Linked DNA regions of Elephas maximus indicus. The protein of the gene in region 1 purifies or fractionates together with the protein of each later gene. This does not show direct contact. Links are inferred from orthologs where the notes say so. Each region holds a gene or a part of one and is shown on either strand. Other genes may lie near its edges.

Region 1 (7,288 bases):
CCGTGACTGACACCAGCTTCTGGCCCCACTCCCTCTTCTTTCCCCTGGTGAGCAAGAACTCCTAGAGGGCTGGGACCTTGTCTGATACCTCTCTATGCTCCTCCTTGGTGCCTAGCACACATCAGGAGCTCAATAAATGTCTGTTTGTTGATGAATGTGGTACATGTCTCTGTTCCCCACTCCCATCTCCTCGTCCTTGGGGTGTGGAGTGGGGATTCAGAAGAGGGAAACTGGATCACCCTGAATTGGTTACACCCTGAGGGAACATCTGAACTTTTTTCCAGTCCTGGTGATGCTGGGGGCCAAGGGGACGTGCCTACACTTTGCTGTATGGGCTCTCCCAATCCCTTCAAATGGAACAGTACACCTCACCTCTACCCCCATGGATTCAGTTCAATCCCCACCTGGAATTGCCTCCAGTGCGTCATTGGATCCCCTCCCTCCCACTGTATAAGGGCAATTGCATTTTTTTACAGCCAGTAATTCAAGGGCTGCATCTGGCCTTGAATATGTTTTGATTTACCTTCAGGATGTTTTTAAAAATTGAATTAGTTAATTTATTTAACAAATATGTATTAACCGTCTACTGTTCTAGGCTCATAGGATATACAGTTGATAAAACTCACACGCAAATCTCTGCCTTTGTGAACTTACATTCTAGTAAGGGAAGACAGACAATAAACAATAAACATCATAAATAAATTATATCATATGCTACAAGGTGCTAGGGGAAAAACAGAGCAGAGCAAAGGGGATTAGGAATGCCATGTTTGGGGAAAAGTTTGCCATTTTAAAGAAGGTGGTCAGGGAAGGCCTCATTGAGAAGATGACATTTGAGCAAAGATTTGAAGGAGCTGAGGGAATAGTCTGAGGCAGGAGTTTGCCTGGCATGTTCAGAGCGGTAATGGTGGCCAGAGAGAGGGAATTAAATCCTAGGACCTCGGCCTTGTGCCCTTTGCAGGAGCCATTTTGAGAAGCCTTTGCAAAGATTTGTGCAGAGCTATGATATGATCTGACTTACATTTTAAAAAGGAGCCCTAGTGGTACAACGGTTAAAAGTGGGGCTGCTAGCCAAACGGTTGGTGGTTTCAACCCAAACACCTATTCTCTGGGAGAAAGTCCTGGCGATCTGCTTCCCTTAAGATTACAGCCTAGAAAACCCTATGGGGCAGTTCTACTCTGTTACATGGGGTCACTATGAGTCGGAATCTTGACTCAACAGCAACATCACATTTTAAAAGGATGTCTCTTACCACTGTATTGAGAACTGACTGCATTAACAGCCAATGTATAAAACTGGGGAGGTTTTGAATAAAACTTCAGATTTCTGCTTTCTTTTGAAAGATAGGAAGAGTTGACCGTTTTGGGCCCTCATGGAGCTAAGTAGCGGCTGCCCCGTTTAAGTGGGGTATGAGCTCTCCCTCCCTTTTGCTCTGAGACAATGAAATTGAGTGTTAATAAGTGTTTAACATCATTGTTCTTATAATAAACAGGAAAACTAATTTTTTTTGGTATCCACATCTCCATTAAAAAGTGAGAAAATTAAAGATACCCCAAGATGGCAGTGTGTTTAAAGAAAGGTAGGAGAAAGGCATATTTCTTTACAAAAATGAAAAATGGCCCAATTTTTAAAACATGCAAACAAAGAGCATCTCAGTAAAAAAAACATAAATTTCACTCATTTACATCACCTACCTGATCTCTGGTGGTACAAGGGTTAAGCACTCAGCTGCTAAGGTTGGGGGTTCGAATCCACCCAGCTGCTGTGCTGTAGAAAGACCTGGCAATCTGCTCCTGTAAACATTGCACTCTAGAAAACCCTAAGGTGCAGTTCTACTCTGTCACATGGGGTTGCTACGAGTAGAAATCAACTCAATGGCACCAAACAACAACATTTGAGCTCTGTAGACATCTGAGTTTGTGACCCCTGTTTATAAAGTGCTGCCACACCCATAATCTCATCTGATTCCCACCCTCCTCCTGTTTTGGACACTGTGTACCGCCACAGAGTTGGTGAACTTTGTATTCTTATCCTCCCCATTTTTCAACAGGAAAATGGAGGTCCAGTAAGGTTAAGTAAACCCACCCAAGAACAGCTAAGAAGTAGCAACGCAGACCCCGGAATAGAGTTTGTTCCCTAGTTCATTGTTATTTTTATAATAGAATGAAAGGTCCAGTCTTAGATCGCCTGTAACCTTTATAATTAATGGTTCAAACGCAGTTCCTAAGTGAGAACACATGTCCCCAAACACTCCTTGATCTGTAAAGAGGCATAAAAATGTATCCTATTGACTGTAATACTAAGGGTAAGCTACCTACTTAGTATAATGCTTGGTACATAGTAAGCGCTCATTAAATATTAATGTTGTTGTAGTCGTTATCTTCATAGCTCAGCACAGTGCTTTTCACTCTTTCAGTTTCAACAATGGCCAGTTGATGATGAATTGATCTAGTGCAGTCCTTCTCAAGGGGAGTATGGTGGGTGGTTTGAGCTTTCCCTGCCCCAGGGACATTTGGCAATGTCTGCAGACATTTTTAGTTGTCCTAACCGGGGGGTGGAGGATGTTACTGGCATCTAATGGGTAGAGGGCAGGGATGCTGCTAAATGTCCTACAATGCAATGCACAGGACAGCCCCCCAAAACTAAGAATTACCTGGCCCCAATACCTCCAAGGTTGAGAAACTCTAATCTAGGGAACAGGGCAATACAGGTTACTCCTGCCTAAAGCCAAAAAAACATTAGGGAGCCCTGGTGGCATAGTGGTTAAGAGCTCAGCTGTTAACCAGAACGTCAGCAGTTTGACTCCACCAGCCGCTCCTTGGAAACCCTACGGGGCAGTTCTACTCTGTCCTGTATGGTCGCTATGAGTCCGAACTGACTGAATGGCACCTAACAACAACAACAACAAAACCAAAAAAACAAACTAGTAGCCCTCAAGTGGATTCTGCTCCAGGGTGACCCCATGTGAAGATACTCCTTAATCCTCCCGGGCGATGCACCAGCGAGGTTTCTGCCGCTTTGTTACAAAGCCTCTGGCATACAGTGGGTAGTCAAAAATTCTGTAAAAGTGAAAATTAAATTTAACAATTAATCATGTGACTCAGCAGTTCACAGAGGTCTGAACTTCATTATCTTTATCTGTAAAATGGGGATGAAAAGCCCGCTTCCAAAACTATTATGAGGAATAACTGAGAAGAGTGTGGTAAAGCTATTGCACAGTACTTGGTCTCCAGCAAGCCCTTGACAGTTTGTCATTTTATTTCTCTCTCCTCTAAACTTGCGTCCTAATTCAGGTGCAGCCCCTTCCTTAGTAGGTGACCTTAGGCAAATCACTTTTCCTCTGTGTTGTTGTTAGGTGTCATAGAGTTGGTTCCAGCTCATAGCGACAGAAGGAAACACTGCCCGGTCCTGCGCTAACCTCACACTCCCTAACTTCACACTCGTTCTGTTTGAGCCCATTGTTGCAGTCACTGTGTCAATCCATCTCATTGAGGGTCTTCCTCTTTTTCTTGACCCTTTACTTTACCAAGCACGACGTCCTTCTCCAGGGACTGGGCCCTCCTGATAACATGTCCAAAGTACGTGAGACAAGTCTAGCCATCCTCGCTTCTAAGGAGCATTCTGGCTGTACTTCTTCTTTCCTCTATAGGCCTCATTTTATTCTCTGTAAAATTACAAAATTGGCCTCTGATCTCCAAGCACTCTTCCAACGACGAAATGGGACAGCGAAGTTTACAGATCTGTTTTCCTCCCCCGGGACTAATGGTACGGTCCCCGGGCAGTTTCCCCCACCCCCTGTCGCGACCTTGGTACAGGCCCAGGGGGCCCTCGGCTGCCTCTCAGGGCTGCCCTTGCCCCCTGCCGAGTTCCGGGCCCGTCCCTGCTCAAGCTGATTGGCTGGAGAGGTGCCCGGGCTGCGCGGCTATAGGTGAGCCCGGGAGGGGACGGGCGGAGCGGGCTGGAGGCCCGCCCTCTCCCCCCTGGGTCGGACGCTGCGCGGAGCCGCGGGCGGGAGGGCAGACGGACCGACTGACGGGAGGGACGGGAGGCGAGCAAGATGGCGCAGACTCAGGGCACCAAGAGGAAAGTCTGTTACTACTACGACGGTGAGCACTGTCCTCGCGGCGGGGGCGGGGCCTGGGCCGGGCCGAACCCGGGAGAAGGAGGCTTAGGTCGAGGAGCTCTGAGAGAAGGCTGAGGCGTTGAGGAGAGGCTGAGTGAGGAGGTTGAGACGAATGAGGTCGCGACTGAGGGAGGAGGCTGAAGGAGCCAGGAAAAGGTGGAGGCTGAGAGAGGAGGCAGATAAAGGAAGGAGGATGAGGCTGAGGAGAAGAGGAGGTCGAGGCTGAAGGAGGAGACTGAGAGGAAGGCGGGTAAAACTGAGGGAGGAAGCTGAGAGGGGAAAGGAGGTCGAGGCAGAGGGAGGAGGCTGAGGCCAGAGGGAGTTGTTTGGGCGAGGACTGAGGTAGTCTTGGGAGGATTCTGAAGAAGTCTGATGTAGAGTTTGGGTTTGGGTGGTACTTTTAGAGGGGAGGCTGAGTCTGAGGGGGGAGGTAGTCTGATGGAGAAGGTTGAAAGGACATATATTCCTGCTGAGAATACACAGGTCTTTCCCTGTCCCTTATTCATCCTTTTCAGTGAGAGTCCTGAGAGAATCGCCAACTAGTGGTCACCAGCTTCCTCTCTCCCCAGTCTCTGAACAGGGCTTGCAATTGCTGCTGGGAGTTGGGGCCCCCGGGGTTGGAAGGAGAAGGATGCAACCTGTTAAAACGAACTTTTTCTTTTAACAAAAATGTGTCAATGACTTACTCTCTACTAGGTAGCGTTTAGGTCCTGGCGCCATGGGGATGATCAAGTCACACTTCCCATCTTCAGCTCACAATCTAGAGGGAAGGATAGACAATGACAGAGAATTACTCTCCAGTATTACTGTTGGGATAAAGGAAAACTCAGAGTTGAGCAGAAAAGAGACATCCAACCCAGCCTGGGGAGTCAGGGAAGGAGGTGCTGTCTCAGAACCTGAAGAACAGGAGTTAGCCAAGCACAGGGAAAGCAAAGATTACAGCAAGTTTAGGGTCTAGAGAGGACCCCCCCCCCAAAAAAAAAACCATTGGCATTGAGTTGATTCCAACTCATAGTGACCCTCTAGGACAGAGTAGAACTGCCCCACAGGGTTTCCAAGGCTGTAATCTTTATGGAAGCAGACTGCCACATGTCTCTGCCGTGGAGCAGCTGGTGAGTTTGCACTGCTGACCTTTCAGTTAGCAGCTGAGCACTTCACCACTGTGCCACCAGGACTCCTTAGAGAGAGGACAGCACCTTTGAAAATAACAGATATATGTATATAAGGCTGAGGCATAGAGTTGGGGGCAGAATGTAGAAGGTAGGGAGCAGGAATGGGGGAAGGGTTGCAAGTGAGGAGGCTGGGGGAGTAAATGGGGATCAGATCACGAGGGGCCAGGCATGCTATCCCAAGGAAGTTAGACTTAAATCTGAGGGCATTTGTGAGCGATTGAAGTTTTATTCATTGAAATTCTATCAGATTTATGCCTTAGAAATATCGCTCTGGGGCATAAATTAAATTTATGAATGTAGGGGCTTGGTAGGAGAAAGACCTCGTGAACTGTTTCTGTAAAGATTACAGTCAAGGAAACCCTATGTTCAGCTCTGTCCCATGGGGTCGCTGTGAGTTGAAATTGATTTGATAGCACCTCACAGCAACAACAACAACAACAGGGATGAGGAAGAAAACAAGGATCCCAAATTTCTAGCTTGTGCAACCTGATGGTGGGTGTGGGAGAAGGCCATGTCAGTTGATACTTTTTTTTTTTTAGCAACATCTGTTAAGATACCTGGAGACATCCAAAGAGGGATGTCTAGTAGGCAGTTGACCATTTTAATCTGCAGTTTAGAAGAGAGGGATGATAAGATAGTTTATTTAGTTGTCAGCATACATAGATGGTAATTTTGCTCATGGGAGAGAATGAAGTCACCCAAGAAGTTGTATAGGGTGAAAAGAGGATCCAGGGTGGAATTCAGAGGAAAAGGAATATTTGGGAAGTCTAATGCCCCTCATGCTCTGTACTTCTCTGTCATAGTCCTTGTCACGGTGTACTGAAATTGCCCGTTAACTTGTTCATATTTCTTACGGACAGTAAGCCTTTTAAGGAAAGGGGTTATGCCTTGCCTACCTCTGTATCCCCAACCCCCTAGTTGTGAAGGCTCTCATATAATATATTAAAACAAACAAGCAGCATGTAGCTTATAGTAGGCTTTCAATAAATATTTGTTGCATAAATTAATAAAGACACAGAGGGAGTGACCAGGGAGGTACGTGAACCAGGAAGTGCTGGGTTACAGAAACGAAAGGAGAGAGGGAGTAGTCAGTTGTTGGCAAGAACTGTTTCTGGGCAGGGGCTAGGGCAGAAGCTAGATTGTAGTAAATTGAGGAGTGAATGGATGTGTGAAGAGGAGACATCAAGTTAAATCCTTTTTAAGGATTTTTAAATCCTTTTTAAGGGAGCAAGGAGAGACAGTTGTTGATAAAGGGGAGTTGTAGTGGCTGGGAGTTGAGCGTGTTCAAATTCTAAAACAAGCCAGGCGGTAGGGAGAGGTTTAAGATATAGGAGAGAAAGGCTGGTGGCTAGTGGTGATGGAGGTTCCTGATGAGATCAGGTAAGATGGAAACGGGAGCCTTCAAGAGGAAGTTCCTTTGTGACAAGAGGGTGAGGGGCAAGGAAAAGTTTAAACGTAGGTAAATTTAAAGAGGAGAAGGTAGGGAAAATGTTGAGAGCGTTCTTAGATGAAGAGAATATTCTCTTTCCTGAGAGTGAGGGAGGACAGCTGCTGGAGTAGGAATCTTGAAGAGAGAGATTAGCTGTCGTGAAAGAGGGAGTTAGGGAAATAAATCTAGATCACTGTGCAGTGGTGAGGCCCTCTTGAGGCTGGAGCTATTTCCGTTTGTAGGATTTTATGATCTCAATACTCTTGATTCAAAAGAAGAGAAAGTAGAAAGATTGCAGTCTTTGGAGAAAGGATCAGACTTGTTACTTCTTGAAAAATTGTGAGTTTTGCAGTCAGGGTACTAGCTTGGGACACAGATTTGGCTCTGCCACTCAGAAGCTTTGCAAGTCACTTAATCCATCAGAGCCTTAGGTCACTCTCTTGTAAAACTGAAAGAATAGCAGTTTCTGTTATAATAGTTAAAGGAAAGCTCTTTAAAAGTTTAATATAGTATCGAAATAAAAAGGATTATTTCCTGCTGTTTTTCCCCTATAAAGTCTCTCA
Region 2 (7,319 bases), on another chromosome or scaffold:
AGATAATTTCAGTCCAACTCTAAGTGCTTTAAGTCACATCAAAAGAAATGTAAATTAAAGGATACCATTTTCCCACCAAACCAGCAAGTTACAAAAAGAAAAACCCACGAACAAACAAAATAATACCAAAACCTGGGGAAACAGACACTGTTGTACATCTTGTGGAAGTGTAACATTTTTTCTGAAGGCTTATCTGATAAATAAAAATGACTTTAAAATACATACATACCTTTGGACCCAGAAATAATACCTCTAGAAGATTTTTTTTGGTAACAAATTCATCACAACATTATAAAGCTAAAATTTGGCAAAAACACACATCTCCCACTGTAGACAGGGTAAGTAAACATAATCAAATTCCCAATTCTATTAAAACTAATGTTGCAGAAAATACTGATACCTAGAAATGTACTTGTTAATCAACTAGGTTAAAATGAGGCTAAAAACCCTCTACACAATGATGCTATTCGTTTTTGTTTGCCTGTTTGTTTTGATTATATATGCAAGACTGGAAGCCCAAACTTTAACTTAAGAGTCTACCTCCGGAGAATGTGGGTTTTTTGTTTGAGGGTATGGAAAGGCAGCAGGGTCATGTCTTCATATGCTTTTCAATGCTCTCTAATTTCCTGCATTACACATGTTACAAAAAGAATGCTGAATTCTTAAAATAGTAGAATAGTAACATTTTGGTATACCAACCCATGATCAACTGCAGAACTCAACAGAGCCTCTCTTGCTGCCTTTGTGGCTTCTCTCCAACCCGCAATGATGGTCTGTGGGTGAATCTTTTTTGCAATTAAAGTTTCTGCTTCCTATTAATAAACAGTGAAAAGCATTATCAATAAGAGCTACAAGAAGGATTTGATTACTGCTGATATTCAAAACCACAAAACAAAAAATAAAACGAGGTAAGAGTTGCTCAGATATTTTCTCACCCTTAATAATTCTGCTGCTAAAACAGTAACAGAGGTAGTTCCATCGCCAACTTCATCATCTTGAACCCTTGACATATCTAGAATAAAATTAGTTATCAATTTATACCTGATTCTGCTTTTTAAACTACTTTAAGGTAGTTTAATTCTCAAAACATACCCACTACCAATCCAAACCTTGCATACCTAGATTTCTCTACCTGACAAATTCTCTGGAACTTTTAGGTAGAAATGCAAGTTTTACCATCGATAATCACTTGGCACTCCAGAAGCTTGCATTTTAATAACAATAATCAATTACAAAGTGGTAGACAGAAATTAATTAAAAGTACAATTACTTAACACTGACTATTAAAAAGTAAGTATTTCATAATGTTAACAAAACAGCTTTTTACAAGTCACTCCCTCCTCCTTAAATAAATCTTCAGACTCACCAACTAAAACTTTAGCTGCTGGGTTGTCAACACCGATGTTTTTTAGAATAGTTGCACCATCATTGGTTACCATAAGGGAGGCGTCTCGTCCGCTGCTTAAAAGAATCTTATCCTAAAGGAACATAAGATATAAGCACATCTTGAAGAACGAGTGGGTCAATCAGTACTCTCATACACCCCACAATCAAGCCCTGGTATCTGCCCCTAGAAAGACTAGAAGCACAGGGAGACACGAACAATGAGGTTTGTTTCAGCACCCTAATAATCAAAACAATGGAAACAAAGTTGTGTCCATCAATATAGCCACAGTTGAATAAACTATAAAAAACTATCTACACCGCCAAGAATTTAAGAAACAAGCTACATAAAAAAAATACATATAAATACTATCTGTATAAAACAAGGAGCCCTGGTGGCACAGTGGTTAAAAGCTCAGCTGCTAACCAAAAGGTCAAATCCACCAGCCACTCCTTGGAAATCCTATGGGGCAGTTCTATTCTGTCCTATAGGGTCTCTGAGTCAGAGCTGACTCGAAAGCAACAGGTTTGGTTTGGCTGGATTTGCATAAAACAAAATATTATCTGTTACACGAAAAAATACTTAAGTAAATATATATACATACATCTACATAAGTGAACAGAAATACATCCAGAAGATAAACACCAAAGTAAGTGTTAATCACAGGAACTTATGAGTATTGTTCTGATTTTTAGTAAGGAGAATAGTCACATATTACTTGTGTAAAACTTTTTAAAGATTAAAAAACATCAAAAAAAGTGTTACTAACTGTATTTCCATTAATAGCTCTAAAACAATACTAAAACCTACAAATACGTTGTTCTTCTTACCATGCCTTTGGGTCCCAAAGTGCTCTTTACCAAGTCTCCAATAGCAATGGCACCGATAAAAGAAGACTGGATCGAAAACCAAACAGATTATCAGAATTAGACAATTTTAACGTGCAAGTTATAATTTCATCCTCAAGAGAAAGGAGAGAACAAGGCTCACCAGACGAGCTGTCTCTGCTCTCTCTTCATCAGCTCCAGCCTTGAAGATGTTAACAGGAGCAAGAGAAAGGGACGCCTAAAACGGGCAATCAAAATACATACTTTGAATATGTACTCTTTAACATATATACTTAAAGGCCTTCCGCTATACTCGAGTATTCAAGAGAAAAGTAATTTATAGGATACTTTTTCAAATGAAGCTTTCCATCATCCGTGCAGTCATATATTTAAGTGGAAGGGAGATTTACGTAAATTGCGAGGAAAGCGGCTTTTAAGATCTATGTAGGCGCCAGGAATAAAAACCACACACTGAAGCGATTGTTTGATAAGTATGGCAAGACTGAAGATTTTAAACTATGGATGAAGAAGGCAGGATTACAGACCACCCGCGGGGCGACGCCAGGTAGGCGATGGGAAGCGGCGGCCTCCATCTTCGACTCTCGGGCGCGCCTTCCCCGCCCGCTCCAGGCTCCTCCCCGAGGGCGGGCGGGGTCGGCCTCGTGGCCCCGGGCTCTAAAAATTCCTCTGCGGCCGGTGGGTCCCGGTGAGACCCCGGCTTCGAGGTGCTGGGACCGTGGAGAGGACGAGCTGGTGTAAGACAATGGCCTTGAGACCCACTCCTCCCCCTGGCTGGCATGAAGGGCTCCCACCAGCAGGCCTCGGGCAGGCCACACGCAAGCGCCGTCGCCATGTGCGGCGGTGTCGTGGCAGACACAGGGAGCCCGTGGCCTAGGAGGGACGGAGAAGGCAGAAGGGCGGCAGCGCACAGCGGGACACGGCAAAGCACGGGCTGGGGGACCAGGGCTGGGGGGAGCAGGCTCACCATGGTTCCAAGGAGGTCGGCCCACACGCTAATCCCTTACCGCTCGCCCGGGTAACCAGGAGTGAAGAGGGAGGCGGAAGTGACGCCACACGCTCTATCGCAGGGGGCGGGGCCTCGGCCTGAGCTCCGTTCCTGCTTGGTGCCACCGCCTGCGGAGGAAGGGAGGGGTTGACACTTTGAGAGAAGCCTGGAGGGCGGTAAACGCAGCCTGTCATATTGGACCCGCTCAGTAGGGAGGAGGAAAGGGAGGAGTCTGAAATTTTGCTTGAGGCTGGGCGGATTAGAACTAAAAAAAAAAAAAAGTCTTTGAAAAACAGACGCCGCGCTGCCGGGTTGCTATAGCAACCGAGTTCTGGCTCATGTTTTAAACTTTTCCTTAAATTTAACTTTTAAAATTTTGCAAATAACACATACGCAGTTTAAATCGTCATATGAAAAAAAATATATAGTAGTAATAAAAAATATAATTTCCCTGCCTCATCACTTCCTCTCCCCAGAGGCAAGCACACTTTAAGTTTTTTTAGCATGTGTGTGAGATTATTTGCCGTCATATTCCTAAATATTTTTTATTGCTTTTTTAATTTTAAGCATTTATTTATTGAGCATAACGGAGGCCGACTTGCTTTCCTTTTACTGAATTTTAGAACTGTTTCTGATTGGACGTTGACTGCACAGCAGGGCAAGGTTTTGTGAACTCTAATGGGAACGTTTATCTTTGGCCTGTTCGCTCCTTTTCAATAGGCTTTGTATTTTGCTTTTATTGTGTCTTCCACTAGTGGAGATGACTAGTACACTCTTACATAATGACTTTGTCTTTTTCTCCCACGGAGCCGCTGGTAGGTCCGCCCATAAAGCTTTACAGCCTAGCAAACCCTAAGGGCCAGTTCTACTCTGTCCTATAGGGTCGCTGTAAGTTGGAATCGACTGGAGGGCACACAACAACAAAAACATCTTGGCAGAGATGAAGATCAATGCCGAATATTCCACGGTATTACAAACAGTTTTCTACTTTCCCACCCTCCAGGACATCTAAAGCCAGTTTTTTGTGTATTAAAAAAGTCCATTGGTTTTGTATCATTCACTGATACCCACTTTTCTTTCTTTGGCTAACTGATTACTTAGCAAGCTCCTGTATTTTTTACAACTGCTAACATTAAATTTACAAGTGTTCTACCCTTCAGATATACACTAAGTGGGGTAGTTTACACTAAAAAAAAGGATTGGCAAACTATGGGGGAACCAAATCCAGCCTGTGGCCTAGTTTTGTGTGACCTGAGAGCTAAGAATGGTTTTTTAACTTTTTTAAATGGTTGAAAAACAATAAAATGGCATGACACATGAAGTTTATATGAAATTCAAATTTCAGTGTTCATAAATAAACATTTATTGAAACATAGGCATACCCATTCATTACTGTACTGTCTTTGACTGCTTTCATAATGTTGTTCTTGTTGTTAGGTGCCATCGAGTGGGTTTCAGCTCATAGTGACCCTATATGCAACAGAAGGAAGCACTGCCCATTCCTGTGCCATCCTCACAATTGTTATGCTTCAGCCCATTGTTTTAGCCACTGTGTCAATCCATCTCGTTGAGGGTCTTCCTCTTTTTCGGTTACCGTCTACTTTACCAAGCATAATGTCTTTCTCCAGGGATTGCTTCCTCCTGATAACATGTCCAAAGTATGTGAGATGTACTCTTGCCACCCTTGCTTCTTCCAAGACGGATTTGTTCATTTTTTTGGCAATCCATGGTGTATTCAATAGTCTTCACCAACACCATAATTCAAAGGCATCAATTCCCTGGTCTTCCTTATTCGTTGGCTCAGCTTCCACGTGCATATGAGGCAAATGAAAATACCATGGCTTGGGTTAGGCACACCTTAGTCCTTAAACTGACATCTTTGCTTTTTTAACACTTTAAATAGATCTTTTGCAGCAGTGCCCATTGCAATGAGTTGTTTGATTTCTTGACTGCTGCTTCCATGGGTGTTGATTGTGGATCCAAGTAAAATGAAATTTTTGGCAACCTCAATCTTTTCTCCATTTATCATGATGTTATTTATTGGTCCAGTTGTGAGGATTTTTGTTTTCTTTATGTTGAGGTGCAATCCATACTGAAGGCGGTAGTCTTCGATCTTCGTCAATAAGTGCTTCAAATCCTCTTTGCTTGCAGCAAGCAAGGTTGTGTCATCTGCACATCACAGGTTGTTAATGAATCTCCCTCCAATCCTTATGCCAAGTTCTTCTTAATATAGTCCAGCTTCTCGTATTATTTTTTCAGCATACAGATTGAATAAGTATGGTGAAAGGATACAACCCTGATGCACACCTTTCCTGATTTTAAACTACACTGTATTCCCCCCCCTTTTTTTTTACTCATTCAAAAATGTATGCATGTATTATTTCATGAAGTTGGTTGCAATCCCCACAATGTGACAGCATGCTCCCCCTTTTCACCCCGGGTTTCCTGTGTCCATTAGTCCAGCTCCTGTCTCTTCCTGCCTTCTCATCCTGCTTTTGGATAGGAGCTCCCCATTGGTCTCCTATATTTGATTGAACTAAGAAGCACATTCATCACGTGTGTTATTTTTTGTTTTATAGGCCTGTCTAATCTTTTTGTGAAAAGTGGGCTTCAGGAATGTTTTCAGTTCTGGGTTAGTCTTTATTTTGTACGAACGATTGCCTCTTTTTCTATGTACAGTGTCTTAGTTATCTAGTCCTGCTGTAACAGAAATACCACAAGTGGATGACTTTAACAAAGAGAAGTTTATTTTTTCACAGTAAAGTAAGCTAAAAGTCCAAATTCAGCGGGTCAGCTCCAGGGGAAGGCTTTCTCTTTCTGTTGCCTTCTCATCACTGTTCCCCCAGACCAGGAGCTTCTGCCCACAGGGACCCCGGGTCCAAAGGACGCACTCTGCTCCCAGCACTGCCGTCTTGGTGTTATGAGGTCCCCAACTCTCTGCTTGCTTCTCTTTCCTTTTATCTCTCAAGACATAAAAGGTGGTGCAGGCCACACCCCAGGAAAACTACCTTTACACTGCATCAGGGAGGTGACCTAAGTAAGGGTGGTGTTGCACTCCCACCCTAATCCTCTCGACATAATATTACAATCACAAATTGGAGGACAACCACACAGTACTGGGAATCATGGCCAAACCAAGTTAATACACACATTTTGGGGGGACATAATTCAATCCATCCCCCACATGTCTGTCAGTTTGCCGTACTGTGGGGGTTTGCGTATTGCTGTGATGCTGGAAGCTATGCCGCCAGTGTTCAGATACCAGCAGGGTCACCCATAGAGGACAGGTTTCAGCTGAGCTTCCAGACTAAGACAGACTAGGAAGAAGGACCCAGCAGTCTACTTCTGAAAAGCATTAGCCAGTGAAAAACTTATGAATAGCTGTGGAACATGGTCTGATATAGTGCTGGAAGATGAGCCCCCCAGGTTGAAAGGCACTCAAAAGATGACTGGGGAAGAGCTGCCTCCTCAAAGTAGAGTTGACCTTAATGACGTGGATGGAGTAAAGCTTTCGAGACCTTCATTCGCTGATGTGGCATGACTCAAAATGAGAAGAAACAGCTGCAAACATCCATTAATAATCGGAACCTGGAATGTACAAAGTATCAATCTAGGAAAATCGAAAATCATCAAAAATGGAATGCATAAACATCGATATCCTAGGCATTAGTGAGCTGAAATGGACTGGTTATTGGCCATTTTGAATTGGACAATCGTATAGTCTACCGTGCTGGGAACAACAACTTGAAGAGGAATGGTGTTGCATTTGTCAACAAAAAGAACGTTTCAAGATCTATCCTGAAGTACAACGCTGTTAGTGATAGGATAACATCCATACGCCTACAAAGAAGACCAGTTAATACGACTATTATTCAAATTTAAGCACCAACCACTAGGGCCAAAGATGAAGAAATGGAAGATTTTTATCACCTGCTGCAGTCTGAAATTGATCAAACATGCAACCAAGATGCATTGATGATTACTGGCGATTGGAATGTGAAAGTTGGAAACAAGAAGGATCAGTAGTTGGAAAATATGGCCTTGGTGATAGAAACAATACAAGAGATTGAATGATAGAATTTTGCAAGACCAATGACTTCTT

Evidence for each region. Proteins that work in one complex are often made in the same cells at the same time.
Region 2: the proteins of HDAC1 (region 1) and CCT2 purify together in Homo sapiens (affinity purification with mass spectrometry; 4 studies listed by BioGRID and IntAct, counting the BioPlex papers as one, with this or other methods). This does not show direct contact. The link is inferred for Elephas maximus indicus from reciprocal best matches to the Homo sapiens genes HDAC1 and CCT2.

The regions. Positions count from the first base shown.
Region 1 is NC_064821.1:73,172,709-73,179,996, forward strand, and holds the start of HDAC1 (histone deacetylase 1), read left to right. Parts: upstream 1-3,976; 5' UTR 3,977-4,058; coding exon 4,059-4,107; intron 4,108-7,288. UniProt on the Homo sapiens protein: Histone deacetylase that catalyzes the deacetylation of lysine residues on the N-terminal part of the core histones (H2A, H2B, H3 and H4).
Region 2 is NC_064822.1:130,768,029-130,775,347, reverse strand, and holds the start of CCT2 (T-complex protein 1 subunit beta), read right to left. Parts: upstream 3,303-7,319; 5' UTR 3,200-3,302; coding exon 3,197-3,199; intron 2,450-3,196; coding exon 2,375-2,449; intron 2,281-2,374; coding exon 2,215-2,280; intron 1,479-2,214; coding exon 1,367-1,478; intron 1,013-1,366; coding exon 936-1,012; intron 813-935; coding exon 700-812; intron 1-699. UniProt on the Homo sapiens protein: Component of the chaperonin-containing T-complex (TRiC), a molecular chaperone complex that assists the folding of actin, tubulin and other proteins upon ATP hydrolysis.